Linked DNA regions of Canis lupus familiaris. The protein of the gene in region 2 interacts with the protein of the main gene of each other region in a biochemical or structural test. Links are inferred from orthologs where the notes say so. Each region holds a gene or a part of one and is shown on either strand. Other genes may lie near its edges. The genes, in order: MYLIP, LDLR and APOE.

Region 1 (4,150 bases), on a different chromosome or scaffold from region 2:
CCATGATAAAACTACACAATGAAAAGTCCAATGTGTTGTAATATGTGTGTGTGTGTGTGTGTGTGTCCTCTTCTCTTACTCTACTCCATTATCTTGAAGTACAGAGTGGAAACCTTCACAAGTCTGCTTTAAGGTAAAAAAACAAAAACAAAACACAACCTATTCTGATTAACATAAACAGCTAAAACAGCCTTACTACACATGCAATCATGTGAATATTTTGCAAGAGATTTCCAAGAACACTAAGAATTTGATATACTAGCTTGCCTCAGAAATAAAACTGAACATCTCCCTCACTGTTTAAAGCTCCCTAACCAGGTAGAAGAGACATTTCAAATTCAAATGAACAGTATTTCAAAATATGTTTCCATCAGTCCTTCAGCAGAGGAGAAGAAAAAAAAAAAAAAAAAAGACATGAGAACCCTTAAAGGATTTTGCTCACTTATCATACCTTGAGATTGTCACACATTTTTCATGTGTGGTGAATTTCCAACCCAAAGGATTATGAAAAATATCAGAACTCAGATCCAAAGTTTGTTGTCTTTAAAAGTCGTTTTCTTCCTTTCTTTTTTTTCTTAACATGCCACTATAAGATTCAGGTCTCTTGCATTTCAGCAATAAATACTGAATGCCAGTTTCCTAATTTGGCTCATCCTTGAAAAGTACTACAGACAGTCCAGGGGGAGAAAACATTTTCTGTTTGAAAAAGGCACCCACGTGCTCCAGTTGTCTACCACTGCTGGTGGTTTTCTACAAGTAAAGAGATAAAGTCAAATCTAAACAATCCTGTGTTACAGATGTGTGGGTTCAAGTTCCGTTACACCGGCCCTACAGTGTTTTTCTACTAAGATTTCAAGATGCTTAAAAACTTCCAAAATTCTGCATGAAGTCAGATGGAGCGCTTTGCTACATGTTGTAATTTGACACTAGGCTTAAATTGACCAAGTTTAAGTAACCCAAGAGGAACTGTTTCCTGCTTTCTGTTAGAACCCTCTACAATGACCTGTAGTAACACTGCTGAGGCAGAGGTTACTATCGGGCATTTGATGCGGCTATCAGGAAGTCAGTTGGGTTTTTTAACCTTTTTTTTTTTTCTGCCTTGTGGCACTGATCTCCAGCGTTCACAAGAATCCAGCCCTGCCCCTTGTTGTTTATAAAGACAAAAAAAAAAACCACAAGAGACAGAAAACATACCCCAGGCCAACTAGGCGGTTCCCTCTTCACCTCAACAAAAGGGCTGAGCCGTGGAAAACTTCTCAGTTAGGAACCAACTCACTCTGTGTCAACCACGTTTGCCTGTGAACATCTCTGGGGAGGTGCAACAGCCCTTTCTAAACGGAATCAAAGGTCTATGTATGTGACATTGGTTTATTTCAGTGCCACTTTACCTCGTCTGCTCCTGTAAGATGAGATGAGGTTCCACGAAGAATTTGACTCTCAGTTTAAGCCGGTAAGGGGCTAGCCCATCCATCTGCTGGGAGATCCGATTTCTCAGATTTAGCCATAAACTTTCGCCTTTGCTACCCGTAAACTGCAGTCCAAAGTAATCAACTTCTATAATTCCCAGCCGCCTGCACACCTAGAACAGAAAAGGAGTGCAATACGGATGAGCAAATGGTCCATGTGGTCAAAGCAAACCCAAGGACACCGTCTGGGTGCAAGCTTCCTGCCTGCTTTTCACAACGTTCAACAAAGGTGCTACAATTCCTGCCTTAAGCTGTAAGAACAAAGTTCTAAGGTCCCAGTGTTGTTAAACCAACAGAGAGGCTTTGTGCTTCCTTTAACACCTAGGACACCGTCAACTGCAGTAGGGAGAAAGGAGTCCTCGAGAGTAGCCTTCCAGAAAGGCCGAGGGAGGCAATCTACAGGGTTATTTTCTCTTATTCCAATCACCGGAATCCCCTCCACCAGCACAATCCGCACCGCTGATTTGGCAGATTATCTGGACAATTTTAACCATCTGGACTCCAAGAAACAAACACGGTGAGGAAACACGCCACAAGTGTCAGCTAGGAGGTTTTCCACACAGCTCAGGTCTAGGGGGTTTGAGGGCACAGCGTTCCCCTTGAGACCAGGTTTTCTGTCTGTCATACCAACGTGCAGTTTCGAGCCATTCGTCGTTACTCCTAAGGGGAATGCGTGCTTTCAAGGCGACGGAGTGGGTGACCCAAACCCGCGGCCCTCCGGGGCCCCGCAAACCGGGAGGTGCAGGTGGACGGTGCATTGGAGAAGCAGCAAGAGACAAGAGCGTCGCCTGTCTGCCCAGCAGCCACCTCATCTGGGGGCTCAGGTGGCACCGCCAGACCCCGCGGGGGACCCGACAGGCGGCATCATGCACACACCTGCGGCAGGTGTGCCGGGCCGCCTTCTTCCGGGAAAGTGCGGGGCTGGGGGGGGGGGGGGCAGCCCGCCGCGCGCGTCCCCCCCGCCCCCCCCCCCTGCGCGCTGCCAGCCTGCGGGGACCGCGGGCCCCACGGCCGCGAGGAGGAGGAGGAGGAGGAGGAGGAGGAGGGGGGGGGCGCTCCCCGCCGGGCCGCCGCAGCGCCGTCCGCTCCCCGGGAGGCTCCTGGCGCCGCCGCGAGGCCCCTCGGCCTCTGGGGACCGCCGCCCCCGCCCGGCCCCGGCCGTCACCTGGTTGAGGCAGTCCTCGCCGTTGGCTTTCGCCTCCACCTCCACCTCCATCAGCACCGCGTCCGGCCTCGTCACATAGCACAGCATGGCTGGGGCCGGCGCTGCCGCCGCGGCCGCCTCCTCCTTGTGCGCGCGGGGCTGCCGCCTCGCCGCGGCTCACAGGCAGCCCCGGGCTCGGCGACGCTGGCCCCCGGGAGGCTGCAGCGCCGCAGACCGCCGCCCCGCGCCCCCGCCCTCCGCCCGCGCGCCGGCCGCCCGCCCGCCCGGGTCCCCGCGGCGGCGCCGCACTCCAGCAGCCCGACTGCCTGCGGCGCGCCGGGGACTCCGCTCATATAGTGGCCCCGCCCCCTCCGGCGGCGGCCCCAGCCAATCAGCGGCCGCGCCCCGCCTCCGCCGCCGGGCCAGCCAATAGCGGCGCCCGCTCGGCCGCGGCTGAGTTCCCCCGGGCGGCCCGGGAGGTGGCGGCGTGCGGGCGCGGAGGGCTGCGCGGGGAGGGGGCCCGGGGTCCGGGGCCCGGCCGTCCCCGCCCCCGCCCCCGCCCCCGCCCCCGCCCCCGCCCCCGCCCCCGCCCGCTGCGCGACGCTGCTCCGAGCCGGGCGAGCGGCCCCGGGGCTGGGGCGCCCCTCTGCCTGCCTGGGATCCACCGTTCTCCAGGAGCCTTGGGTCGCTGCGAGAACGCCTACGGGAGGTGAACGTCCAAGGCAAAGGGAGCAACCCCCGAGCCCGGAGCAAACTGCCCCCGCGCCCCCCCGGGGGTTGCCGCCGTGGGCTGTTGGAAGGCGGAAGGATCGCTCCTCATTTTAGACCTCGGCGGTGGGGGAAAAAAAAAATCTGAGTATAAAAGTTTTTCTGTTTTTTGTTTTTTTTTGCAGGGCCACCTGTGTGGCTCAGTGGTTGAGCATTTGCCTTCGGCTCAGGTCGTGGAATCGAATCCCCCAGGGAGCCTGCTCCTCCCTCTGCCTGTGTCTCTGCCGCTCTCTGTCTCTCTCTGCGTCTCTCATGAATGAATAAATAAAATCTTTTTTTTTTTTTTTTTTTTCAGTTGACCACTGAGCTGCATCTAGCGTGGAGCTGGATCTAGCACTTCAGCATAAATCTTCTCCAGAAGCTTCTGTTTACAGGTTGTACTGAATCAAAACACCTTATGGGGCTCCAAGGCCCTCTCTCGTTCATCCTGTCTCGTGCGTTATTCATTCATTAAACGTTAATTGAGCACTTGCTGTGCTGCCGGTCCCTTCTCTCAGGCAACCAGATGTTATCCCCATCTTGAAGGTTAGGGACTTATCTCAGAACCTAACAGGTGGTAACCTCAGCAGTAGCTATTAGTAATTAAAGGCCTCCTAGTCTTCACTCATTTACTACTTGTTCCTTTTTGCCAATGCACGAGTTAGCCTACTCTTTGGTTTCTTTATAGGAGAAATGAGATGCGGGTTTCAGTCTTGGATCCTTGGAAAGCCTGCTTCATCTCTCTGAAGTTCAGTGTTTTCAACAGTAAAATGGAAAGCACAATATCTGCTCT
Region 2 (3,500 bases):
GCAGCTACAAGTGCGAGTGTGAGGAGGGCTTCCAGCTGGACCCCCACACCAAGGCCTGCAAGGCTGTGGGTGAGCAAGGGGTGGGACCAGTGGGGCAGGGGTGGGGCTGGTGGGGGGAGAAGGGCACACTGTGTCCTGCAGAGACCTCTGGCAGATGGATGAGCAGGCCAATTAGGAACTTTCTAGGAGGCTGCTCTCACATGTCTTGCTTCCCTGCAGACTCAGGTCAGTTGCATGAGTGCTGGTTTCTAGCCCTCAGCCCTGCCAGTGGCTTCAGGGTACAAGAGGTGAAAAGCCATGGCCTGAAGGGCCTGCACCCCCTCCAGCTGTTCTTTTTTTTTTTTTAAAGGGTGAGTTTTATTTCTATCAATACATCGGTAACATTCACCATTGTTGGGAACCAGCTTTATTTTTTTTAAGTGATATTGATAGATTTATTTTTATTTCTTTTAAAGATTTTATTTATTTATTTATGATAGTCACAGAGAGAGAGAGAGAGAGAGAGAGAGAGGCAGAGACACAGGCAGAGGGAGAAGCAGGCTCCATGCAGGGAGCCCGACATGGGATTCGATCCCGGGTCTCCAGGATCGCGCCCTGGGCCAAAGGCAGGCGCTAAACCGCTGCGCCACCCAGGGATCCCTTGATTTTTTTTTTTTTTTTTTTTAGATTTTATTTATTTATTCAGAGAGAGAGAGAGAGGCAGAGACACAGGCAGAGACACACGCAGAGAGAGAAGCAGGCTCCATGCAGGGAGCCCGACATGGGACTCGATCCCGGGTCTCCAGGATCACGACCCGGGCTGCAGGCGGCGCTAAACCGCTGCGCCACCGGGGCTGCCCCCCCTCCAGCTGTTCTTATTCACTTACAGGAACCTATACCCAAAAAGAAAATTCACTTAATACAGACCAAGGTATAATCTCTCATAAGAAAACCAAATCACAGGTCAGCCCGGGTGGCTTAGCGGTTTAGCACTGCCTTCAGCCCAGGGTGTGATCCTGGAGACCCGGGATTGAGTCCCACGTCAGGCTCTCTGTATGGAGCCTGCTTCTCCCTCTGCCTGTGTCTCTGCCTCTCTCTCTGTGTCTCTCATGAATAAATAAATAAAGTATTAAAAAAAACAAAACCTGCAGCAATAGTTGAGGTTCTTTTCTACCTAATCTAAGATTATAGGGTGCTTGGGTGGCTTAGTTGGTGAAGCATCTTCCTTTGGCTTGGGTGATGATCCCGGGGTCCTGGGATCGAGCCCACATTGGGCTCCCTGCTCAGTGGGGAGTCTGCTCCTCTGTCTCCCTCTGCCCCTCCCCTTGCTTGTGCTCTCTCTCTCTCTCTCTCTTTCTCAAATAAATAAAAACAAACAAACTTAAGATTAGAACGGCACTCATGCGCTGATTCTCAGAATCACCAAATCAAGAGATCCCATGTGTTTGGAGGCATAGCCAAACTTCCCTTTGCTTTGTGTCATGTCATTACCCACCTGTCTGATTCTAATGAGGTACAAGTTTGCAGAAATATTTTAGATCAACTTCTGTTTCCTCAAGGTCTGTTTTAGCCTTGAAGTCTTTCTCCTGTGTTATCACCCCTTTTGTGACGGTTCCTTGGCCTCCCTTGCTCATACCCCCACACATTTCCCAGTTTTGGGGAAAACCAAAGACTGAGCTCATGAAACCCTCTAGGATTTGAAGTTTCACTTTCCTTCCAATATCTATGGGCTGATGTCTATACAGGTGCCTTTCAGGGGGTAAGGGGCACATGGTGTCGTGGGAAGGGGTATTCTGAGCGAGGTCCATTGTACACATGGTTAGCTTGTTGGTGAATATTGGCATCATGGTTAACAGCAGAGTCCCCAGGGACAGGGCAATGTGTGTTCAAATTCCAGCTCTGCCACTTACTAGCTGGTATGACCTTGGGCTAGTCCCTTCTCCTCTCTGAGCTTCAATCCCCTCACATACAATGGGAGTTTGACAGTAGCCCTGGTCTCATAGGAGTGTGAGGACCAATGAGGGAAAATATAATAGGAAAAGCACTTAAGCAGAATTTCCTGCCCTAAGGAATAGCTCTATACACATTAGCTGTTAATGTTTCTTCTTCTTCTTCTTCTTTTTTTAAAGATTATTTATTTATTTGAGAGAGAGAGAGCAAGCATGAACGGGGTGGAGCAGAGGGAGAGGGAGAAACAGGCTCCCCACTGAGCAGGGAGCCTGACGCAGGGTTCCATCACAGAATCCTGAGATCATGACCTGAACTGAAGGCAGACACTTAACCGACTGAGCCACCTAGATGCCCTTCGTTTCTTCATCTTTACGTTCCAAAATGTAAAATGCTGGGGCCCCAGTGTGGATTTTATTACCAATGTAGGCTTTATTATCATTCAAGTATGGCAAGGCCAACCAATCAGGAGACGGCCACCATTGAAATGATCGGTTGTTACTCACAGTTCCCAAGAGGAGGGCCATGGCAGCCAGGCGGCCAGCTGGGGAAGCACCAGGGTCAGTCAGGAGGTGGAGGAAGAGAAGGGGGATCACATGGGCCAGAGCCTCCCTTATGGTTTCCTTGGGCATGAGGTGAAGCAGGGTGAGCAAGCTCAGGACTAGGTAGTCTGAATAATCTCAGCGGGCTCTGGGGCAGAGCGGCTGCCCCTGGTTGTCTGGTACCTGCCCTGTGGTGACTGAAGCAGGCGGAGGGGTTGCGACCCAGAGCGTGAGAGCCCAGTGGAGGGGTGGCGGACATGGGCTGGAGAGTTTGCTTTCAAGGCAAGTCATGAACCATCCCTAGGAGCTGGTTGGCCCTGGGAGGGGCTGTCCTTTCAGGCTCTGCAAGGCCTCGGATGTCAGAGCATCAGAACCACATGGTCTTGTTTTGTTTTTAGATTTTATGTATTTATTCATGAGAGACACAGAGACAGAGGCAGAAATATAGGCAGAGGAGAAGCAGCCTCCATTTGGGGAGTCTGATGCGTGACTTGATTTCTGGGAACCAGAGATCACAACCTGAGCCAAAGGCAGACACTGAACCACTGAGCCACCCAGGTGCCCCTGGAGCCACATGGTTTATACACCAACGAGGCATTTCCCATGGCATCCTGGGTGTCTCCCCTGGTTCAGCCAGACCCCCCAAGGGTGACAAGCTCGAGTCAGGGGGCCTTCTGCTCCCCTGAGCATCCTTCCTGTGTCCCCAGGCAACATCGCCTACCTCTTTTTCACCAATCGCCATGAGGTGAGGAAGATGACTCTGGACCGCACCGAATATACCAGCCTCATCCCAAACTTGAAGAACGTCGTCGCCCTGGACACAGAGGTGGCCAGCAACAGAATTTACTGGTCCGACCTGTCCCAAAGGAAGATCTACAGGTGAGCCTTGGAGCTCCACCCAGCCCCCTAACCCAGGTGAAACAGGCCCCTCGTACTGACGTTCTGCTCCCCCTTCTCCCACTGACAGCACCCAAATCGACAGAGCCCCCAGCTTCTCCTCCTATGACACCGTCATCAGCGAGGACCTCCAGG
Region 3 (4,243 bases), on a different chromosome or scaffold from region 2:
GATGGCTGGGGGTGGGGGGGCGCTGATGTGCGGGGGACCTCTTCGTGACTGGAGGGTTGGAGCTTTCAGAAGCTTCTGAAGGATTCCAGCACCTGGAAAGACTTCAGAATCCATTAGCTACTCCTCAGGGGGCAAAGGGCTTCTGGGCCTGGGGTGGGGGGACGCTGGAGTCTGACTCCAGGCTGGCTCCAGATGCCTCCTTGGCACGGAGACGGGGAGGACATAGAGGTGTGGCTTGTGCCCACCTCAGGTTCCAGTAAACTCACACTCCTGACCTCTCCAGACCGGAACTGAAACCACACACATAATGGGCTTTGGAGAGGGAGGCCATTGAGCAGAGATGACCCCTCATCACCCAGGGAAGCCACCCCTGCTCATTTCCTGCCGGCGCCCTTTGAGGCCAAAGCAAACAGGCCCAGGCCTGGCTGCTGTCCTGGGACCAGTCTTTGGGCCTCCATGGACCCCACGGCACCCAGTGTTCACGCACCCTTGAGGCAGCAGGCATGAAGCTCGGCCCTACTTTGCCGTGTGGCCTCACCCACCTCAACCTGGGCTTCTCTGGGGAACAGCCAGGACTCCAAGCGGGCTGCTAGCAAGGTGACGGTCTCGACGTGGCCAATCAGAGCAGCTGGCCCCGTCTGCCCCAGGAACAGTTCTCGGGATTTCGTGCACTCAGCAGCTTGCATCACCGAACGGTGGTGTAAGTGGGACCATTTTCCTGGTTTTGTGGAGCAAGGAGTAGGGTGGTGAGAGAAGCTCGATCGCTTGCCCAAGGTCATGCAGCTGGCAGGAACCCGGTTTCGGCCCAGAGTCCGCAGTCCTAACCCGGCAGCCGGAGGGCTCCATAGCCCCGCGGAGGGCATCCTGCGGGGGCGCGCCGGGACCTACAATGTTCCTCCTAGGGAGGAGGGCTGGATCTGCATTTTGGAAATGCGAAGCGGGACTCAGAGAGGTGCTCGCCTGTGCCCGAGGTCACAGCCAAAGGGGAAGCTAGGATTAAAACCCAGGTTTACACAGTGCCCCCCCATCCCTTCTGGGTCTGGGCCTCTGGTCCTGCTCTCCCTGAGTCCCAGGAGTCTAGGCAGCACCCCCAGCCACCTCCCCTTGGAACCCAGGAATCCAAAACCCCAGCCTTCTCTTCGCCTCTGCCCCAGGATTTCAGCCCCCAGCCCCCTCTTCCAAATTTGATTCATCCATCAGAGAAAAGAAGGGGCGCGAAGGGGTGCCGGGGTCTGCCACAGCTCCTTCCCTGGCGTGCCTAGCCCCTCCGAGCGGAGGAGGGGGCCTGAGTTACTGAGATGTCACCTCCCTTCGTGGGGGCCAGGGTGGGGTGGAGGGGCATCACAGGGCCTCCAACCACCCCCCTCCTTCCCCCTGCCGGGTGTGGGAAGGGGTGGGGGAGAACAGCCCACCTCGTGACTGGGGGCCGGCCCAGCTCCCGGGCCGGGGAGGAGTGGGCGGGGCAGGGGGAACATTATAATTGGACGAGTCTGGTATCCCTGAGTCCTACTCAGCCCGAGCGGAGGCGAAGGAGGAGGATTCCCGGGAGCCGGTGAGAAACCGAGTTGAGGGCACAGAGACCAGCTCAGGGCTCCCGGGAGCGACGGGCTGGGGCGAGGTGACTGTCAGACGCGAGGACCGGGGCAGAGGCAGCAGCCGGGGAAGAGGATGCACGCAGGGGTCGGACCTAGGAGGAGGAGTGGGCCGCAAGAGCATCCCGTCCTGGCTGGAAGGTGGGGCGGGGGGAGCAGCTGGACCTCTCGAAGAACCGGATGAGCCAGGCCACGAATTGTCACTGCCATTCCTTGAGCGCTTCCCGGGTGACCCCTCAGATCTCCAGGGCTTGGAGGCCCAGGGGCGGCGCGAGGTGGCCAGAGCGCTCACCGGAGGACTTGTCAATGAGAATTAAGTTAGCTCATGGGTGGAACATGACGTTTAGATGTGAAGCTGGGGCTTAGAATGTGAAGGGAGGACGAGGAATGCGAGGTTGGAACTTAGAAGCCACGGTCGGGGCTCTCATGCAACTCGGGGCAGAGTGAGTGGAATTTGAACCCCTGGGAGAGGGGGATGGAATTTGGGCGGCGGAGGCCGACCTGGTGATGGGGAGATAGGAGGAGACAATGAGGGAGTTAAATCAACAACGGAGGGACCGCTCGGTAAATGTTTGTGATTGGATTCGGCCCGATGCAGACTTGGGGGCGCGGGCAAGACTCCGTGGGCCGCGAGCGGGTGGGGCGGGGCTCCGGGTGGGAGGGGTCCCCACTGGCTGCCCAGATTGACATTTCTCCCTCACTCGTACTGACCAATCGCAGGCTGGAAGATGAAGGTTCTGTGGGCTGCGCTGGTGGTCACGCTCCTGGCAGGTAGGTGGGCGGGGCTTGCTCAGGTTCCCTGCCCCTTCCTCGCATCCTCACCTGCACCCCGGGGTGGGCCCTTCTCTCATCCCTGGGTCCCACCTTCAGCTGATCTGTCTTCCCCTTGAGGGGAGGCCCAGGTCTGAGGCCTCCCATCCACTGGCTCTGAGCAGTTGTTTTACTCTCTCTGGGCCTCAGTTTCCCCATCCTTAAACCGGGAGTTAACAACAGTTCCTAATGCATTGTTGTCAGGCAGGTAGCGAGCCTTAGATTCGTGTCTGCCGTGAGTAGGTTTATTCCTCACGGCAACACGGCCCTGCACGGAGCAGACACAGATGCTCCACATGTGCCTGTCAGGTGAACTGGGCATCCCCCCACCGGCTCCCTGACGGCCAGTGCTCTAAAGCAAGCGCGGGAGCATATGTGGAGCACCTGCTGTATACGAGGCACTGCGGGCCTGGAGCGGGCCGGGAGGCTGACCGCCGCGAACTTGCTCTGTGCAGGATGCTGGGCCGATGTGCAGCCGGAGCCGGAGCTGGAGCGCGAGCTGGAGCCGAAGGTCCAGCAGGAGCTGGAGCCAGAGGCCGGGTGGCAGACTGGCCAGCCCTGGGAGGCGGCGCTGGCCCGCTTCTGGGATTACCTGCGCTGGGTGCAGACGCTGTCTGACCAGGTGCAAGAGGGCGTGCTCAACACCCAGGTCACCCAGGAACTGACGTGAGTGCCCCCTGACACTCCCGCTGGGCAGTTCCTCCTGGAGCGTCCGCCAGTCTGGGCATCTCTGCCCATGTCTCGATCCCTCTTTCCATCTCAAGCTCCTGGCTATGGACCCCTCTGACTCTCTCAGCTCCTCCTGCCCCTGGCCACCCCTCCGTCAGGCTAGCTCAATCCCTCGCACCCTTCCCTTTCATCCCCGCGTCTGGCCGTCCCTGCCCCCACCATGCCCTCCCGCACCACGGGGTTTTCTCCCTGTTCCCCGCCCCCCCCCCCCCAGCTCTGCACACACATGCTCCCGCCCTCTCGGACCCCAGGGCGCTGATGGATGAGACCATGAAGGAGGTGAAGGCCTACAAGGCGGAGCTGGACGAGCAGCTGGGCCCCATGACCTCGGAGACGCAGGCCCGCGTGGCCAAGGAGCTGCAGGCGGCGCAGGCCCGGCTGCGCTCGGACATGGAGGACGTGCGCAACCGCCTGACGCAGTACCGCGGCGAGCTGCAGGCCATGCTGGGCCAGAGCAGCGAGGAGCTGCGGGCGCGCTTCGCCTCCCACATGCGCAAGCTGCGCAAGCGGGTGCTGCGGGACGCCGAGGACCTGCAGAGGCGCCTGGCCGTCTACAAGGCCGGCGTGCGCGAGGGTGCCGAGCGCAGCGTGAGCAGCATCCGCGAGCGCCTCTGGCCGCTGCTGGAGCAGGCCCGCGAGCGCAACGCCAAGGTGGGCGCCCTGGCCACGCAGCCGCTGCTCGAGCGGGCCGACGCCCTGGGCCAGCAGCTGCGCGGGCAGCTGGAGGAGATGAGCAGCCGGGCCCGCGGCCACCTGGAGGAGATGCGCGAGCAGATACAGGAGGTGCGGGTGAAGATGGAGGAGCAGGCCGACCAGATACGCCAAAAGGCCGAGGCCTTCCAGGCGCGCCTCAAGAGCTGGTTCGAGCCCCTGCTGGAAGACATGCAGCGCCAGTGGGACGGGCTGGTGGAGAAGGTGCAGGCGGCCGTGGCCACCATCCCCACCTCTAAGCCTGTGGAGGAACCATGAGCGCCCCGCATGCCACCTGCTGGGCCTCCCCCAACTCCTTCCCGTGCCCCCTGCCTGCTCCCACCGGCCTCCAGGAGGCCTGCCCCTGCCCCCAGCTGTCCTCCTGAAAGGGCCCTAGCTTAATAAAGATTCACCAAGCTCCA

What was found.
Region 1: of the proteins of LDLR (region 2) and MYLIP, one has a biochemical effect on the other in vitro, tested with the Homo sapiens proteins (4 studies listed by BioGRID, with this or other methods). The link is inferred for Canis lupus familiaris from reciprocal best matches to the Homo sapiens genes LDLR and MYLIP.
Region 3: the proteins of LDLR (region 2) and APOE interact in a biophysical measurement, tested with the Homo sapiens proteins (2 studies listed by IntAct). The link is inferred for Canis lupus familiaris from reciprocal best matches to the Homo sapiens genes LDLR and APOE.

What each region holds. Positions count from the first base shown.
Region 1 is NC_049256.1:16,553,781-16,557,930, reverse strand, and holds the start of MYLIP (E3 ubiquitin-protein ligase MYLIP), read right to left. Parts: upstream 2,801-4,150; 5' UTR 2,719-2,800; coding exon 2,632-2,718; intron 1,580-2,631; coding exon 1,389-1,579; intron 1-1,388. UniProt on the Homo sapiens protein: E3 ubiquitin-protein ligase that mediates ubiquitination and subsequent proteasomal degradation of myosin regulatory light chain (MRLC), LDLR, VLDLR and LRP8. Activity depends on E2 enzymes of the UBE2D family.
Region 2 is NC_049241.1:50,529,175-50,532,674, reverse strand, and holds part of LDLR (low-density lipoprotein receptor), read left to right. Parts: coding exon 1-69; intron 70-3,175; coding exon 3,176-3,347; intron 3,348-3,435; coding exon 3,436-3,500.
Region 3 is NC_049222.1:111,234,405-111,238,647, reverse strand, and holds the start of APOE (apolipoprotein E), read left to right. Parts: upstream 1-1,443; 5' UTR 1,444-1,552; exon of another isoform or gene 1,553-1,618; intron 1,619-2,301; exon of another isoform or gene 2,302-2,312; 5' UTR 2,313-2,320; coding exon 2,321-2,363; intron 2,364-2,857; coding exon 2,858-3,068; intron 3,069-3,382; coding exon 3,383-4,100; 3' UTR 4,101-4,243. UniProt on the Homo sapiens protein: APOE is an apolipoprotein, a protein associating with lipid particles, that mainly functions in lipoprotein-mediated lipid transport between organs via the plasma and interstitial fluids.